2 linked regions of the Caenorhabditis elegans genome follow. The protein of the gene in region 1 interacts with the protein of each later gene in a pairwise test. Each region holds a gene or a part of one and is shown on either strand. Other genes may lie near its edges.

Region 1 (9,992 bases):
ACGTGACAGTGGAACTGGAGAACGGGCACGTCAAAGCCGTCCGTCAGTTTATGGGAAACGATACGGAGTAGCCATGAGCAACGCGGAGACAGTTCGCAAGAGATGGAAAATTCGTCGAAGATTATCAGATCTGAAAGTGAAACTGTGCGATGCCACTTTGATTCTCGCAGTCGGTGGGCTTATTTTGGCGATGCTTGATGTCGAATTCACAGCTACAAGGATCCTGGAAAGCTTCGTGAATACATCGGATTTATCGTTCATTTTAAGAACAGCTGCAATTATAACAACGATAGCTTTGCTCTTTTTTCTACTTTTCTACCATTTCATTGATATCAAAGTAAGATTTTTATTATTTCTGAAATCTTACAAACCTTCACGTAACACCGTAAATCTTAATTTTAGATTCAACTAGTCGAAACGGGTACTTCAAATTGGCGAGTAGGTATAACTTCGGAACGAGTTCTAAATACTTTATTAGAGGTGGCAATATGTGCAATTTGTCCAATTCCAGGTTAGATCGAAAGAGAAGATTTATTTTATGGATACATTTTTCAGAAACTGGTGTTGTCGCGTGGCCGATTCTTTCGAACATAGCTGAAAGAACGCGTGAACGTGTGAACATCCCAATAAGTGTTCTTTTGACTCTTCCAATGTTCTTACGGTTCTTCATTGTCTGTCGATATATGGTTCTTCATAGCTCCCAACACCAGGACACTGCAACTCGAACAATTGCTTCATTAAACCATATTGCAGTTGATTTTCGGTTTGTGCTAAAAAGCGAGATGTATGAACGTCCCTTGTTCGTACTTTCAATTGCGTCACTGATGTTCTGGTGCGTTGTTTCCTGGATGTTGACACAATGTGAAAGGTAAACATTAATCTCAGTAGTCTAGACTTTAAGGAGGACAAACGGTTTTTGAGTCATTGTTTGTAGATACTCAAATTGTGCCCAAGTGAACAAATTTCAGAATGCAACTTTTCAAAAATTCCTCAAATTTTTTTTGAGAAGCCTCGTTATGAAACACATTCATTTAGGCAAATTTTGAGTCTACACAATAAAAAAAAACAATTAGTTTCAGTCTCGTTGCTCAACTTTGGCAACTTCTATAGTCGGTACATTCTGAAGATTGAAAAAATGTCAATTGAAAAGATATATGGTACATTTTTGTATTTGATAGTTTTTTGACATTTTCGGAATAGAATTAGATAAGTTGCCAAAGTAGAGGAGTAGACTAATAGAGTGAAAAGGAATTGATTGAAACATTGAGTTCAGGTACGCCTACCCATCAATCAGTGGTTTTCAACATTTTGCTGATTATTTATGGTTTGAGATTATTGTAAGTTTGAAGAAATATACCTAGGATTCACGCGAAGCCAGCTCAGAGAGCTCAGAATCCTGAGGCCTATGGGGAATTTGATTTTTGAAAAAATTTACAGTGGTCAAAATGGGAATGGGCACTCTGAAATTCAGCCTGAATCGGTATGAAAAATAATCTGAATATACTAGACAAGTAAAATTGACAAATACTAGTCCTTGTATTGATTTTTGTAAAAATATCAATTCGACGATGGCCAATTGGAAAAGTTGAATATTGTGGCTAGATCAGATGGATTTGGAATGAACCTCGGATTCTTGCAGAATAATATTTATTGGTTTTTGCAAGAAAATCCGTTATACTTATTAATTCTGAAGATCCGAAAGTCGTCAAATTTTACCTCAAATTTTTATTATCGTAAACTCGTGAAAACGCGATACCTCACATTAAAGGTACACGCTCATTATCGCTTTGGGTCTTGCCACGATCTCCTTTATTTTGACTTCTAATAGTCTACAAGATTGTTCACATAATGTAGATAAGCTGAAGTTTATGAAATGTAACGTTTGAAGGGTCTAGAGTTTCAATTTTTGAAAATTGCAGACATTCTTCTCAATCGGTTACGGGGATGTTCAAGTGAATACCTATTGTGGACGAGGACTGGCAATGTTAACTGCCATCGTCGTAAGTTTTCTTATCAATTGGTTTTTCAATTTCTTCCTATGCTTAAACATTTCTTATCATCATAACTTCCTCATATATATTCTTCCTTTCTTATCAGTTTGTTTCAGGGAACACTGTTCTCTTCTACACTTATTGCTCTTATCAGTCGGAAGTTGATTTTAACTACATGTGAAAAAAGAGTGAATCATATCATTGCAGAGAATAATATTACCAATGAGTATGTGCTCTAAGATGAGCAATAAAAAGTCAAAATTTTGAATTCTCAGACATAAAAATGCAGCTGCTTGCGTACTTCAAAACACATGGAGAACCGTACTTCGTGCCAGAGATTATCAAAAAAGCAGTTCAAGAAGAAACCAACAAAGACTTGCAAAAATGCAGAGAATGTTGCTTTGTTCAGTTATAACGTTAGTTAATGATAAGCTCAGTTTCCTTTCCAATTTTGACTTTTTTTTCAGATTCCGTAAAACCCGGTGGAAGTTGCGAATGCAGATGGAGGATGAAGACGACTTCTTTACTGCTCGCCGAGCATTCAACGAGACTGAAGATCGTCTCCAAAAAGTACGTCAACGACAATCGCAACTTGATGGGAAGATCTCTATGTTGTTCGAAAATGTTGAGGCGTTGACGCAGGCTGTGATGTCGAGGAAATGTTATTTGAGGCAGTGATAATAATTTGAAATTCATGGGTGCATTTTATTTATAAAAGAATATTCACAGAATTTCGTGATTTGAGAGAAGGATAAATTATATTAATGAACAATTTAACACGAGTCTGGAATTGAAACAATAACACTTATTGGTTATTGATGGGGTGATGAAAGATGAAAGAACCAAAAAACACGTAAAGCGCAGGAGATCGAAAAAGGGTACTTATGAATTTCGTGCCCTTCTTTGATTGTGAAAATAGCTCCTACGCCTTTAAATGCGAAAAAAATGAGTTAAAAATTATAAAAAGTTTTTGGGGGCACGAAATTCATAATTACATTTTACAGAGAGACAGAAAAATGGAAAGATCCTAAAATTTAAATAATACGTTTAATAGTACTAGGTTTCAGCTAGATATGAATAATGAGCAAGTTGGATTTTTGGTAATCAGTCACAAAACAGAAGACCCGAAGAACTCGGGGGATGTCCAATTGGGGGGATTACCAACTCGGGGGATTGGCCCCGCCCACAGAACCGTGGCTGGCAATACGCCCATTTCTGCAACTGCACGGTTTCGAAACTGTATTTTTCTCAATAGAGCGAGAATTAACAAGAAAAATACAGTTTCAAAACCGTGCGGCAGTTGCAAAAATGGGCGTATTGCAAGCCCCGGTTCTGTGGGCGGGGCCAATCCCCCGAGTTGGTAATCCCCCCAATTGGACATCCCCCGAGTTCTTCGGGTCTCCAAAACAGTAAACTGATTGGTCTCAAAGGTTAACGCCAAACCGAAAATCAACGAGTACAGCTCATACAACAGCTGTTTTTATGAAAATAAGATACACGATTTTATGTAATAGCTTGCTCATTCGATGCAGATGAACCGGCTCCAACCATTGGTCCGGAGCAACTAATAATCTCCCATGCACGTTTTTCTGGATCAAATCGCTCGACTTCATTGATTAAGCTCCAATTGTCAGCACATCCGCGAATAGCATAAATAGCTTCGTTCGTCGAGTGAAGAGTGAAATATTTTCGATCTTTGCTCAACGATGGCTCATCTCTCCATGATTTCGTCAATGGATCATAGCTTCGAACTGATCTCAACGTATTACTCGAGTTACTCCATCCACCAGCAATGTAGATTCTTCCTCTGAAGGCACACGATCCAAATCCGGCGCGACTTCCTTGCATGTCGCCCACAATTTCGAACTTTTGACCAGGTTCTGACAGCTTCTCAATCTTCTCTTCATATTCTTTTCCATTGAAACCTCCCAACACTGAAATTAAACCTTTTTTAATCAACTAATTAATCGAAATCATACCATAAACCTCTCCATTGCATGGAACAACCGCTGCATCGGCACGAGGCCTTTGCAACGATGGTCCATCCTTCCACTCTCCTTGATCAGTATCATAAACTTCCACAGAATTCATATAAGTGCTATCATATCCACCGGCCACGTACATTTTGTTGTTATGGATTCCCGCCGACGTTCGTGTTCTTCCACGCTTCATTTTATTACACTGTAATAACTTTGACATTTTTGTTGAAATCAATAAAAATTATTTGTTTTAAAAGTTTACAATTCTAGAGAATTTTTTAAAAGCTGAAAGAATAACCCACATCTCTTCGCAAGTTTTTCTCCCGATCATACATTTCAACGTTGTTCAACCATGATCCGTTATTCATTCCTCCGACTATATAAATTTGAGATTTGCTGCAGGCAACAGCGTAGTTTGATTTTGGGTTCGGCATTCGCCCAACTGGCGTCCATCCTCTGTTTTTAGGATCGTAGACTCCAATCAAAAGTGGTTCACGGGCACTCTGCTTTCGATCTGGAAAAAAAGAATAATTTTGAGAGATTTTTTAGACTGGAATCGCGGGAGGAGTCTGTATAAAATGCAAAAGCATGATAACAACGAACGACACGCGAGCGTCGCGATGAGCTTTTTTCGTTCAAGAATGCACAACATAAATATAACTTTTACCTGCAACCAATACGGGATCCTGACTAGCGAAAACGAAATTTGCCTTAGTAACAGGTTGTTTAGTTTGAAAAACGATTCGATCGTGCTCTTCGATTTCGTTATTCAAAAAATCCAATCGTGTTCCAGCATCTTTGACAAGAGCTATCGTATCACTTATTTTCTCCATTTCAGCTTCGATGTTGTTGAAGTGAGTCTTTCTTCCGGGCGGAGACAACTTTTCATGCTTTTCGAAGTAATTTTGAAGTGATTTAATTGTCGCCGCAAATTTGTCAGAGATATCATCGCACACCTGCTTCGAAAGCTCACTGATTTTACTGATTTTATTTCCGAGATTAGTCGGTGCTTGATCTTCGATACTATTTTTCAAAAGAGCCAGCTGCATTGTCTGATGTCCTTCGTGTTGGGCCCCATCCAAAGCACAATCACCGCAAATCGCCATCTTCTTAGCTCGTGTCATTGCTTCATCGACTCCATCATCTCCAACAACTAATACTAATTCTTTTTTGCCTTCGGCTTGCTTCAGAACTCCTTTTCCGACGGCGCACGTTTTACAAATTCGTAATTTCTTGGAATGTAGGGTGCACTCACTGCATGTTCCTTCGTCTAAGCTCTGCAAAAACTTTTTCTGGGTTTTTATAGAAAAAGGAAATTATACTTACATTTGTGGATTGTGCCTGTGGCGCTACTCCCCCACTTTGCATACTTTTAAAGTGCTTTATTAATTCTAAAACTTGATAATTGATTGTAGTAATTGCGAAGGCTTCTTCTCGATTGCACTGTGGACATTTTGATGAGACCATTTGATGTTTGCAACTTTCACATATGGAGTGGCCGCATGTGCCTATGCAAGGTTTCCGGAGTTCGGTGTCTGAAATTTAGAAGTTTTTTTCGAAATTCATTAATGTGCTCACCATATTCATTATAACAAATTATGCATTCTGTTGTATTCACAATTGACATTTCTTGAAAATTATTGTGTTTGAACCAACTGTTGACCCGTCTTGTCTGAAAAGAGGTTCAATGTGTGTGAAATTATCGATTTTTAGGGAAAACTTGCGCATTCGATTTTGCAAAAGGATTTTCTAAAATAAAATAAGAATAAGATATTTTCCGCGCGGATGAGTGGTGTGCGGCACGCGAATAAATTTCTATCCGGAAAATTTTCGGCGGAAAATAAATATTATTTATGGATATATCCGGATACTTCGAAAGGGCGCATTTGCACACGCAAGGATTCTAGGCCGCGAAGCTTGACATTAATTTATCAAAACCCATTTGGATTTCGAATCCGAAAGAAATTCGATAGATTTAAAAGTGATTCAATTTTGACGATTGGAGAAATTTCGAAAACATGCAATATTGAAATAGTTTTATTTTGAAACACAGGAACAAAACAATGAACAGCGAAAATTCGGAAGAAAACTAGAAGATATTATAAAATAAGAATGAGCAAGGCGCGTTTATCCGTCGACAAAGAGAATGAGAGAAACATACGGACATTGCCACGGTTAAAAAAGGAAATAGAATATCCTAAAAAATGATGAAAATCATTGCTTTTAAGTAACTGTTTTAGCATTATTTGAAATGTTCTGTTTCCTCATATAAAATTTCTCAGATTTTAAAAAATTGCTTGAAATCAAAATTTCCCAACTCTTTCTAATACTTATTTGAACCTAATGAAGAAGCCACGCTCATTTTGAAACCATTCACCATATTCTAATTTCGCTTTTTTGTGCAGTTCTAAATTTAGAGAAAATTCGATCAGGGAAATTAGCCAAAGTTGGAAATTTGCAATTTTATATCCACCTTTCACAGAATTTCTCATTTATTTCCAGTTCGTTTTACAGATATCTAAAAATTAGGACAGGTTTGAATTACTGTATTCAAGGTTTTTTTTATTGCGACACGATAAAATGCCTTTCTCCTACCGATATCAAATTTTCGTTATTTTTCTCTTCTCTCGTTTTCAAAGACCAAGAAAGAATTCTATCAATATTATCCTTTTTGACACACGATGATTTCTCCTTTTCTCTTCATCCAATCTAATTTTTCTGTTTTCACAACGTCAATCTAATTCGAATGCGATTTCCCATACACTTTCTGATTTTTATTCCGTACTTAATACTCGTTTGTAAGTTAATAAGCTCGTAGTTCTATAAATAGTTTCGAATTATTAGCAGGAGAAAACGATATCGATGAAGATCGAGAAGGTGATGGTGTCGATGTAATTGAGGTTAGAAATGACGCAATTCGAATTCGATGGAAACATGATTCCGATGAAGAAATTGTGACAAGACAACGATTAGTTGTAACTGTTATGAGAAGTACGAGCTCTGGCCATTTTGAACATTCAGAATATAGAATATATGATAGGCTCACAATATAATTGTTATCTTACCAATTTGAGTTTTACGATTTCAGGTTCACAACAAACGGAAAAATCATCTCAAACAGTTTTGGTTGATGCATTTTTGCGCGACTACACATTTATTGGATTAGCTGGAAACACAACTTACCGTCTATCAGTGGAAGCTTTCAAGGTATCCTATATGAATGCTTTCTTGTGAACAAGTATATCAAATTATGTAGTTCCGACGTTGTTGCGGTGGCGGTCCTCGGAAATGAAGAACCACTCCTTTCGGGCAGAGATGCTATCTGAAAAATTTGATAAATATATAATGTATTAAAGAGACGATATTGTGAAAACAATTATTATTTTGACGAAAAGGTAAATATATAGGTTGAAAATCCTCACTCACAGTACAAATATTTAGAGAAAATAACAATTGTAGTTTTATCCATTTTTGAAAATATAGCTGTTGATTATTTATGAAAATTATGAAGCTTCTGAAAACGTTTGCAGAATGAAACAAGTCTTTGGTACGCAAGCAACATGGCAACAACAAGTCTAGCAGGTATTGAACTTTTTAATTGAAAAATATTATTTTTAATTCAGAAATGACCTAGCAAAGTATAACTTGCTATCAGGATCGATTTTTTAGACAGCGCCACGTTTAGAACATTCTTATCAGTTTCTTTAACAACTGTCAAACTGCACAAAATTTGATTTCATATGAGATCTGAAATATTTATTTTTTCTTCGACAAAAGCTTCGAAATTCAGATTGACGATGTTACAACTATTAGTTAGAAAAACCTTAAACTTGACAAAAAACCCATCAAAAATTGAAACAATAAAAAACCTGAGGAAGAAGGAAGAGACAACAACAAAAAACCTGAGGAAGAATTTTTAAATGCTCCGTACTAAAAGTAGTTATTATTTTAAGATGCATCATGATTAATAAATAGACCTTAAATATCAAATTCATTCAACCACCAATCACCGTCCCACCTACCTCTCATAGCGTCTTTTGCTACATATCCTAGGAAAATCAAAAACTCTGCCAATATCTTTATCTTTGATTTTTCACGGTGAATGATTCTGAAACTGGACGAGAATGGTCTTGATTCTATAGATTCTACCGTGGCGAATTTTAAGAAAATACTACTTATCCAATGACGTCACGAAGTACATTTACATGTAAAGAAATACGTGCTATGAGGTAATGAGTCGTGTTTCGATACATTTCGCAACGCCAGTTAGTTATATTAAAGTTCGTTTTTGGAAATTTGGTTGACATGGGCATTTAATTATTGGATTTTGATTCAAAACTCAATGTATGTATATCTTCTATTTTTGGTATATGTTATTACACGCCACGCAGAATTATTATATTCAATTTAGTGTATAGAACAAAGAAAAAAAAATCGAAATTTAAAAGTGAGGAAGACTCACATTGTCCCCTCACTCTTCCCTCTTCGAGGCAATAATGTAGAGAGACGCAGAAAAGAAAAGTGATGTCAGGTTTCTATTTGAACACTCATAGAAGAGAATATAAGGGTGCAAGAGGCTATAAGTCTAATAGAGCAAAAACAGTATTTCCAAAAAGAACCAAAAAATTGATTACAAATTGATTGATTACAATAAGACCAGTTCAACTCAAAAGGGAAATATATGTACTTTTGATCGCGTTATATCGCGTTAAAAATCAGTTTAAAAAGGAATACCATCCTGAAGAGTCAACGAGCCAACAGTTCGTTTTGTAAATCAATTTCTAGGGCTTCCCAAAAAAATGTTTTGAAAACTAATAAAAATTAAAATTAAAAATTTTGAAGTGTGTGTACTCATAGATAAATTCCTGATTGTGTCATGAATGCCAATTTGACACTACCAAAAACAATATTTTCGGTAACAATCATTATTGGCAATATACTTGAACTAATCTCAATAAATACTAATAGTGCATTTACATATACCGTATTTTTGCTATTAGTATTGCTATTTAAATTGCTACATCTCTTAGAATCGGGTCGCTATTAAACTATCCCGGAAAACGATTACCGGAAATCCTCTAGTAGTTTTGCATTCAAAATGGCAAAAGACATAATTTCATCAATTTCGTCCATAATTTTAGCGGAACATTTTGTAGCGGAACCTGTTTAAGTTAATTTTACTTTCAAAATGGGCAGTTTTTAAAAAGTTTAAAGAGCAAGACAAATACTACAAATTTTTTAATGATTTTTTTTTGCTCTTTAGCTTTACCATGGTTACATGCTCCATCGGAATTGACTTTAATGGATCGTAAGAACGAATCAATTGAAGTATCATGGATTCCACCTGTTGTTCTTGAAGCTGGACATCACTTTATTATTACACAACACCTGGTTTGATATAGATGTCTTATTGCTAAGAGTAGATATAATATAGGTCAAAGTATACGATTTGTCGGGTAATAGTTCAACAAACAAGAGATCAATCACTGTGCCCATTCCACTAACAAGACTTCAAATTGATGGATTAAAACCAGCGACAGCATATAACGTGACAGTTCAGGCCGGAACAAGTTATGGTTATGGTAATAAAGTCTGGTGCGCTTTTGCTACATTGGATAGTGATGAGGCAAACATCTTGAAGTTAAGATCCAGAACGCCGAATTCGTTGACGGTTTATTGGCCAGCTAATTGGTTAACAAAGACTACATCGAAGTTTACGGTACCTATTCTCAAAACCCGCTCTTTGTATTATTTCCAATGTTCAGATCAAAGCAAAGACCATTCATTCTCCAACAGGAGTATCCAAGGAAATTGAAAATTCTGCAATCGGAGAACCTGGTAAAGCTCATGAGTTTGTTGTGGATAATCTATTACCATCAAGTACTTACAACATTACTATAACAACATCAGATGATCAGCTTAAGAATGGAGGAAAGAAATGGACTCAAATGAGATGGAAACATGGTTGGGCGGTATTTTCTACTATGTCACAAGTAAGTTTAAACCTAATAACAGTAGAGTA
Region 2 (9,233 bases), 1.1 Mb from region 1:
TACACCAAGTCAACATCAATCGAACCAAGAGAAACAAAAACGAGAAAATGGACTGGACAAAATGACGTTCATAGTGTGCCTGGTTGAGCTGATCTATTTTGCATTTGTAGTTTATTCACTTCAAATCAATCAATACATGAATAAGCGAATATTTTACTTTTTATATAACATCCTTTGTGTCATATATTCAACGTTCTCAGCCTGGATGCTTCTGATCATATCAAAACCTATTAATTCTCAAGTTCGTCAGCGATTCTCGTATATCACCCAGAAAAATGATATTTAATACTTAATACAACATTTTCAGAAATCTCGGTGGTAAAAAGTTGACCCGGTCAATTTCAATATCCGTCCAAGGAAGTCGAGATAATAACAAATCATGAATTTTTATGGAATAAATTTGTACATATGATCTCAAAGTTCTCAAAGTTCCCAGCGGTCAAAAATTGGTTACTTACTCGAATGAAAAATGTGATTTCATATTCTGGGGGTTTTTGTCACATGTTCCACTTACTCACATTTTCGCAAATCCTCTGATTTTCCCACCGCTGCACATTTAACATGCATCTCCAATTTTTTATTTCGCTTCAATAATCTTGAAACAAAACCAAACACAGATTTTACAAACTTTCAAAACGAAATAGGTTGGCCTATGATCAGGCAGCACAATTTCGAATCTGAAAATAGTTTCTTGGTTTTTTGTTTTTTGTTGAAGTAACTATTTCAGTTTTTTGGATCTCTCATTTGCAGCTCCTGAGATCAGGATAATTTCAGTTTTCCAGATGAATAACGTGGTTTACGACAGCTTCTCTGAGTGGTTTCTCATTGCAGAGACAGCTTCATTGACTGTTTTATTTGCAATTACTGTTATTTCATTTGCAGTTTATTTTGTAGAAATACAAATTTTATTCACTTCGAGGAATTCTACTTTCAAAGGTCAGAGAAGATAATATTATTGGTTTTAGGAATTCAAAAAACGTTTAAAAATCCAAGAACTAATTCAAAACAGCACAAATTTCTCTGAAATAAAAAATGTTTCAGGCCCATTCTACCGTCTTATGTTCATTGGAATTCTTGTTGACATGATATCTGCCGTAAATCTTTTTGCGTTACAAATCCTGCCAGCTAGACAGTAACCGTATTCCACATATCTTCTAACCAAAACCCTCACATTTCCAGATGGTTAGCATTATTTTATTTTCCGAATGAAAGCTGGCTCGGTGCAATTTTCTATGCAATTTCGTATGGAGGTCGTTGTGTCCAAGGAGCAACCGCTTCAATACTATCATTTTGTCGTGTTTGTGCGGTTTGCTTCCCATTGTTTTATCAAAAGGTAGATTCATGATGATTCATAAACCGATAGTGCTTATAAACCAGTTCCCCAGTTTTGAAAATTCCTGAAGTCAGCTTCATGACTCATCGTCTTATCAGTTTTCAGCTGAGTTATCCAAAATACACGTACACAATGCAAGCCATCCAACTCTCAGGAGCAGTTGCATCAGTGTTTCTCTTGCTCCCACGCGAGTACAAGTATGTGAATGAGAACGGAGGGTATGTGTGACACTTGTTTAACCTCAGAACACATTTTTTGTTTGCATTTAAACTTCAGATATTACTCGGCATTTGTTAACAACGAGTTCAGGAAACCATTTTTCAATTTTGTGGCGGTACTCGAAATTCTTTTTGTTTTGGCAATTGTTGTGAACAATTTGGTCACTTATATAACGTATAGATTTAAACTCAAAAAAGTGGGTTCAAAATATAAGAAAGAAGCATGAAAATGAAATGTGGATAGTGAAACATCGGCATGATCTTACAAAAACATAGAAAACAAAACTTGTACTCTATTAAAAAAAAAACAAAAAAAATTGTATAAATCTTGACTGCTACTTTCAGAAAGTGTTGTCAAGACGCACTTCGGTGGCCGGATCCAAATATCTTGACAGTAGAGAAAAACAGAAAAAAGAGAGCAGCCTGGACAAAATGACCGCTATAGTTTGTAGTCTCGAACTTATTTATTTTGCATTTGTTGTGTACTCTCTCCAAATAAATCAAACGATGAACAAGAGAGTTTTCTATTTTCTCTATAATATTCTTTGTGTCATCTATTCAACCTATTCAGCGTGGATGTTACTTTTGTTTTCAAGACCAATAACTGTGCAGTTTAAGCAGAGATTTTTGTACGCTTTACACTATAATTCCCAAAAAAAAACAATATGTATTTCAGAAGGCTTAGCTCAAAACGATCAACTCGTTCTATTTCAATTTCAGTCCAAGGAGGCAGCCGGGAAAATAACAACAAATGAAAAGAAATCAAATTCAATTGACTTTTTTGTTGAATGCTTGTCGGCTCTTATCTTTTTAGAAATAATGATAACTTTTTCATGCATTATTGAACGGGATCTTATAGTTGAATTGAGAAACACTCGATTTCGTGATACTACAAAACACAGTTATTTTCTTTTCAACAGTTATTTTCTACAACAGTTATTTTCTTTTCAAAATATCACAACAAAAGTTACATGAGTGTTTTTGAAAATTTATCAGTACAATGAAACCTTCAAAAACATCAGTATAAGTTTCCTCAATCAAATGTCAATGAGAAAAAAGTGGGAAGAAACCCTCATTAATTACTCGTACGATGGCTGTCCTGTGTGATACGTAAAGAAAGAGCACAGAACACGAGCGATGAGTCATTTTCTCAACTGGCTCAATTCAGCTTCCCGCCGCCCATTTAGGAACTGATTGTAAAGTTTTACGTATATAAAAATAACGATTCAACCCAGTGTGAATAACTTTTTTTTTCAAATTTCACTCGATATTAGAGTAATTTTTATCGCGTAAGATCTCACAGTTTTTTCATCTTTTGAAATCCCGTATCCTTGCACTATTTTCATTGTTGATATGGATTTTTTACATTTTAAATTTTTTTTTAATTTCCGTTATTTACAACGTGTGTTATACAAGAGACACATAGATCTTTAAAAATAGTAGAAAATGTAGAAGTGTAAATCTTGCAAGCAGGGAACATTTTGTAAACTAGGTATATTTTTGGTGATTTCCCTGAAGCTGTCAAGTGTCAAATACGACGCAGATAAAAAACATCCGCAATCAAGTCAGATGGTTTTTTGATGATCATTTCCCGAAATAGACCAGTGACCATGATTCTTTAAAAGATCTTCAACTCAATAGAGAGCAAACTATACACATTGTAGCTGGCCTATCACTTTGGGAACAAACTGGTGTCTAACTTCTCAACCGCCTCTATGTTCGCAGAGATTTTTATTTGGTGTTTGCAAAAATGTATATTCAATCCAATTAGAAATCAAAAAAAAATCAATTCAATGTTTAAATAACTTTCCTATCACAAAAATGATTGTTCCGACAACCGCTAAAAATGTGATAGTTGTATTCTACGCTTTATCATTCATCAATACTTCTCTTCACTTTTTCCGATTAGTTTTTTTTCCACTTGAAGCAATGATTTTTCAAAACTTGTTAGTGATTATTTTTAATTCGGGAGGAAACTATTACCACCATAGTGTACATTTGTGTTGAAAACCTAAGTACTTAAAGACGGTCCCTTGTAGGATTATTGTATTGTTTTGAATAAAGATTAACATTACATCTAGTTTTACGAGGCGTTAGCCCCAAATTCTAAATCAAATATCAAAAGACATCGTCGACTGAATCGTCGTTTTAAGACATTTTCCAAGTCTTGTCCAAGTTCAATGTTCAAGTTTAAATTTAATGTGTGTTAAACTCTGATCGCATATAATATTCTTTCAAGTGCTTTCAACTGATTACTGTTTTTATCTGAAAAACACAAGGCAAAAATTATAGTAAACGTACTCTATTTTTAAACAAATTTAAATCCTTGTAACTGTAATCAATATCAACTTGAATTCCAGTGAAGGAATGGAAGAATTAAATAAATACAAACAAGAGATCAAGGATAATGCATTGAAGGAACTGGTGAGCTTTTCGTTTGATTAATTTATTAATAGAAACAGTTAGAAAATTTCAATTGATTTATAGTTTTGAAAGTAAACAGAGGCGCCATATGAAAGTCTATTTCATAAAGAGCATTAATAAGCAGTTGTACAAATTTATTAGATTTTGAATATAATTTTTAAAAACGTTTAATTTTTTAAAACATTTCTTAAAGGATTCGACAAAGAAAAAAATTAACGAGGAGAAAAAACACTGGGGTGATTTACCATTAACGTACATGCCAATTTCCAATGGAACAATGACTAGAGAGTACGCAGAGGTACAATTTATAATTTTAGAAAATCAGTCCACCCACCTTAAAATGATTAATATTCCAGACTGAACAATTTTATAGTCACGTTGTCAACGTAAAAAATATACTCGATAGTTTGTTCGAAGAAGTAGAGAACGATATCAAACGGCTTGATGCAATTTTCTGCTTCAATGAATACACCGTATACGGACAAGAGGACATAGAACAAATTAAAGAAAATATAAAAAATGAATATAAAACATCGGTTGCCCATTTCAGCAAGCTATGGTGAATTTTTAATTTTTCAAAACAATTTAGTAGTTTCTTAATATTCAGGGAAGATATCAAAGCAATGAGCGTTCTTCTTCGTTCATGTTTCAATAAAACATGGGACCGTCATTCCGAAGTGACTCTCCTTGTAAATCTTCTGATTGCCATACTGTATCGATTATTAGTTCCGTTGCAGACTGTGATCCAAACCCTTGATGAATCCATTAAACACGTTAGTCTATATCTTTGAAGTAGTAAACCACACAAAAAATAAACAAAAAAATTGATTCAAATCAAAATTTCAGTCAGTCAAAGCCCAGAAATAGTATGTGGCACTTTTAAACTTAAAAATCTTTAATCAATTAGTTATTTTTTGCAGAGAGGTGGCCCTAATTATGACAAGAACAATGACAATTTCTTCCTCTTGAGAGAATGTGGATCCGCTTTAAGAGAGTGTAACACTCAAATTAAAATGGACGAAAAAAATTTAATCATTCGGATAATAAACACAAAAGATTTAGAAGGAGGCTTTAAAAAAAGCTTAGAAACTCTATTGAATGAAAATGAAAGTGCGAATTTTATCAAGTTACTCGCAGAATACCTGGTCAGTTTGAATGCTTCAATAGGGAATTCTTATGTTGTGATCGACTTTTTGAAATTGTAACTTTCAGGAAGGAGTCAATTTAAATGTGGATGTACAAGTGCTGAAAGAGAATTTCTTCATATTTGCCCAAGGAATCAAACAATTTTATCTCAACAATGTCGAGACACTTAAAGATTGAACAATGGACTCAAAATTGTTTTCAAAATACCTTAACTTATTTTTCACAGTTAGACTTTCGAAGTCTTTGTTTAATTTTGTTCAACTTGCCAGATTCCAATGTTCAGAAATAAAAAGTTTACGAAAAAAACATATGCTTTTCTTGCAGTCAGAGAGCAGTGTTTGAGACCAAAATTTCATTTCGAGAATTGGGTCAAAACAATTGACTTGATATACAGGTAAAGGAAGATTCAACAATTGATAACAACGAATAAATAAAAGGAGATATATCTAAACGTTATTAGATCGTCTAGTTCTTCTTGTGTCCAGCGTAGGCTCCTCCGGCTGGGGCAGCAGCCTGATATCCTCCGGCGGCTGGAGCGGCTTCAACGGCAGCTGGGGCAGATGCTTGGTATCCTCCGGCTGGGGCAGCTCCTCCGAGTGGGGCAGATTCAACAGCGGCTTGTCCGGCCTGGTAAGCTCCTCCGACGGCTGGGGCGGCTCCTCCGAAAGCTGGTCCAGATTGGTAGGCTCCTCCGGCTGGGGCGGCTCCTCCGAAAGCTGGCCCGGATTGGTAAGCTCCTCCAACTGGGGCGGCTCCTACGAAAGCTGGGGCGGCTTGGTAAGCTCCTCCGATTGGGGCGGCTCCTCCGAAAGCTGGTCCGGTAGCGTATCCTCCGACTGGAGCAGCTGGGGCGGTGGCATATCCTCCTGCTGGGGCAGCGATTGGGGCAGCGGCGCATGGAGCTGGTCCTCCGCATCCTCCTCCGAGGGATGGAAGAGAAAGTCTTGGGAGCTCAAAGCGTGGGAGTTGGAGTGGTGGAAGAGCTGGTGCTCCGCATCCGCATGGTGGTGGTGGTGGTGGTGGACTGGAAAAGAAAATTTGAAGTTGAATCATGAAATTAAGTTTTGATTTCTGCAGTTTTACTATTAGAGGAATCGACAATGAATGGCTTTTACTAAAGATAAATCTCAGGAACCAGAAAAATAAAATAGGTGAAGAATATAAAAAAAAATCTGGAATTTAATAAAATAAATCAATAAAATCAAAAACTTACGCGCATCCACATCCTCCACCTCCTCCAGATGGAAGAAGGAAAGCCTGAGCGGCGGCGATGGTTGTGAAGAAAACGATGAGCTTCTGCATGTTTAATAGAAGTGTTAGAACCAAATGAATTGGATGACTTTTACCGATTGGCCCGTCGCTTAAAAAGGGTGAAGCATGTGGGCGGGGCTTTTCGAATAAAATGCCAAAGGAGCCTGCCTTTCAGGCGAGAGGAAGGTATTGGTCAAAACCAGAAATTGCGACATTGAGGGAAATCTGACGTACGGCACGGTGGGACATGAGGGACGCGCGGAAAAGGACAATTGATATGACGAGTTCTGCAACGAAAAGTGTTTCTCTCTTTCTCTTCACCTCATGCCAGACAACGGCAGATCATGGATTCGGATAATAGATATAAGGAAGGTGAGACAACCAGCGGCATTGATGGGGCGAAAAAGCGAAATTAGGATTATCAGGATTTTACGGTGAGACGATGGGAATAGATGCGTGAAATGAGGCATGCAATAATACATATGCAAAAGTCCAAGGTTTGCCAAAAAATCGTTTGACGAAACTTTGAAACTGTTCTTTACAGGACTAGAAGCTAGATAGATTTGAAACGCATTAAGGTTTTGTTATCTTGAAATTAGCATAACTTAATTTTTTTTACAAGTTTCATGAAAAACTATCTCGAATACCCAATGTTTCAGATTTTTAGGCACTTTATTTTTTAAAAGGCATTGATTTTATTGGGAAGTCCAAAATAGAGATGCGTTTTTTTGCGGATTACGTCTCTGATCGTTTAAATTTTTAAATTTAAGTTTCTAACACTTTGTTATCATCATTCAGTTTCACATTTTTCGGAAGATTCAGAGATTAAGATTCGGTTATGATTTACGTATACCATTAAAAACTTAGCATTAAAAACTTGATCTACACAAGTTTCCAGTTTTCAATTTGCTAATTTAAAAAAGGTATGCCTGATCAGAAAACTTAGTTTTCAATATTTCGAAAATTTGTTTTGCAAAAGTTAAGTCGAATTACTTAAATGCTTTTTTCAATCATAACATAATCATGCAAATCAATATGTATTTTACGACCTCAGGAGTTTCGGCAACCCAGATAGGCAAATTTTTAAACCTATCATAATTTGGAAGCACATTCAAATTAGAATGTGCTGAAACATGCCAGTTTGCTACATTTTCCCAAGGCTAGCCTAAAAGATGACACACATATTTTAAAATATATCCATTTCTTTTTTCTATTTTTTTGGGAAAATTAAGCGGGGCGATATACTACTGAAAGATTTGGTTATCATGTGCACAAGACCTTATCATGACTCGGTATAACATTGGAGTTTTTCAGAGTCAGATTTCTTGTTGTCTTTTTTTTTTAATTCAATAATATCTTTAGATTCCAGTAACGGCGAATTATTCACCAAAATTTACACAATCAGCTTCTCGTTTCTGAGTTACCTTATGTTGCATAACATTCCTAGTGAAAAAATCGTTTCCTGTCACTTTCATCATTCCTCCATTCCTTACTAATGCGTCACGATGCCCTTTGTGATGAAGCTTCAGTACCCGATACGAACCAGACGATTGTTGCGTTTAAGTTGATGCGCAGTGACCTCGATGGAAGAAGCTTCTCCATTTCTCTTCATATCTTTCGAAATGATTGGCCGAAATACGATAAGAATCGGTGGCATATCTTTCCTCTCTTTCTTCCGTTGAAAAGATGAAATAAGGGTATGGCAAGAGAGAAAGGCATTTTGATATCCACCTCCTTATCCACACACATAAACTTTCTCATTTTGTTTTTATTCAATGAAAGGCGGACTTAAGGGATTAGGTATATTTGATTTATATATATCATTCTGTATGATCCAGAGTAGACGAAATTATTTGGATAATGAAGTGAGTGTAATTGAACATTTAAACTGATGGAAAAGTGATTTCGCTTGCAAAGATTATTACGAAAGAATCACTACAAATACCAATCACTACACATTTTGAGTAGTTACGGTGTGTTTCGGAACAGGATAATTCTAGATACAAGGAAGTGGTTCAGGCTGGAAAATTTTATCTAGTTAAAATAAATTGTGGAAGTTTCTCTGGGCAGAACTGTAAACTTTGAAAAAATATTAATTTGTACCAATCAGAACAAAATATTATTATTCTATTAAACGTACCGCCAGTAGGATGTTGTTTTAAGAAATTTACAAAAATGCAAAATTACTAAATACACTCCAGATAAAACACTGCAATTGTTTTACAATTTTCAGTCTAGGGTTTGGCAGGTAATTCATTAATCATAAAAAATATATTAATGTTTTTTTTGGTCGGTTTCCAATATTATTATTAGTTGCGAAAACCGAGTAATCACAATCTTTTGGCTGCAAAAAATTGAATGTTTATTTTGGGAAGTTTAGTTTTATATTTAATTATTTAGAAGTTTTAACTACTTCCTAACTGACGCAACTCCAGCTCTAAATTGAACGAAAATCGTGTTGAGTAGTAGGAATAGAGGTGGTGTAGTCGAAATGCTAGTATTACTTTTTTTGAGAAGTTTTCAAGAAGTTTCATAAAAAATTTGGTGTTTTCAGAAAAATCCTAGTCTAATAGAAAAATTCGCCTACATCGCCTTTATTCCTATTACTCTAGTTTGGCAACTCATAGGTTATTCACTTCTAATGTATTTGCGTTTCCTTAAAATCATTGTTGGAATAGTTAAAATAAATATTCTGCCACATCGAAAGTGTGACTGGGCATTCAGTCTTCTCTCGATAGAGCCAGTGACGGACGGATCATTCTAGGTCACGAATTTGGAAACTCCATAACATAGGCGCTAATGTAATACCAATTAATAATAGAAAGTCCAAAAACATCAAATTGTCAATTATGTGATAGCGT

Evidence for each region.
Region 2: the proteins of rike-1 (region 1) and F53F1.6 interact in a two-hybrid assay, tested with the Caenorhabditis elegans proteins (one large-scale study listed by BioGRID).

Annotation. Positions count from the first base shown.
Region 1 is NC_003283.11:14,540,225-14,550,216, forward strand, and holds rike-1 (RING-type domain-containing protein), read right to left. Parts: upstream 5,598-9,992; coding exon 5,549-5,597; intron 5,506-5,548; coding exon 5,297-5,505; intron 5,257-5,296; coding exon 4,638-5,256; intron 4,485-4,637; coding exon 4,273-4,484; intron 4,182-4,272; coding exon 3,971-4,181; intron 3,926-3,970; coding exon 3,495-3,925; downstream 1-3,494. Other genes in the region: kcnl-4 (Calmodulin-binding domain-containing protein), read left to right, coding at 1-337, 403-511, 556-868, 1,274-1,337, 1,920-2,000, 2,108-2,217, 2,267-2,407, 2,459-2,669; C53A5.13 (Fibronectin type-III domain-containing protein), read left to right, coding at 6,717-6,768, 6,815-6,961, 7,059-7,177, 7,501-7,552, 9,234-9,361, 9,405-9,689, 9,736-9,963.
Region 2 is NC_003283.11:13,412,290-13,421,522, reverse strand, and holds F53F1.6 (Protein containing ALS2cr12 (ALS2CR12) signature), read left to right. Parts: upstream 1-3,909; 5' UTR 3,910-3,918; coding exon 3,919-3,975; intron 3,976-4,168; coding exon 4,169-4,273; intron 4,274-4,331; coding exon 4,332-4,534; intron 4,535-4,582; coding exon 4,583-4,748; intron 4,749-4,895; coding exon 4,896-5,120; intron 5,121-5,187; coding exon 5,188-5,298; 3' UTR 5,299-5,427; downstream 5,428-9,233. Other genes in the region: srv-9 (Serpentine Receptor, class V), read left to right, coding at 1-258, 308-383; srv-8 (Serpentine Receptor, class V), read left to right, coding at 783-936, 1,042-1,132, 1,180-1,333, 1,439-1,551, 1,610-1,748, 1,897-2,180, 2,228-2,306; cut-2 (Cuticlin 2), read right to left, coding at 5,587-6,145, 6,335-6,423.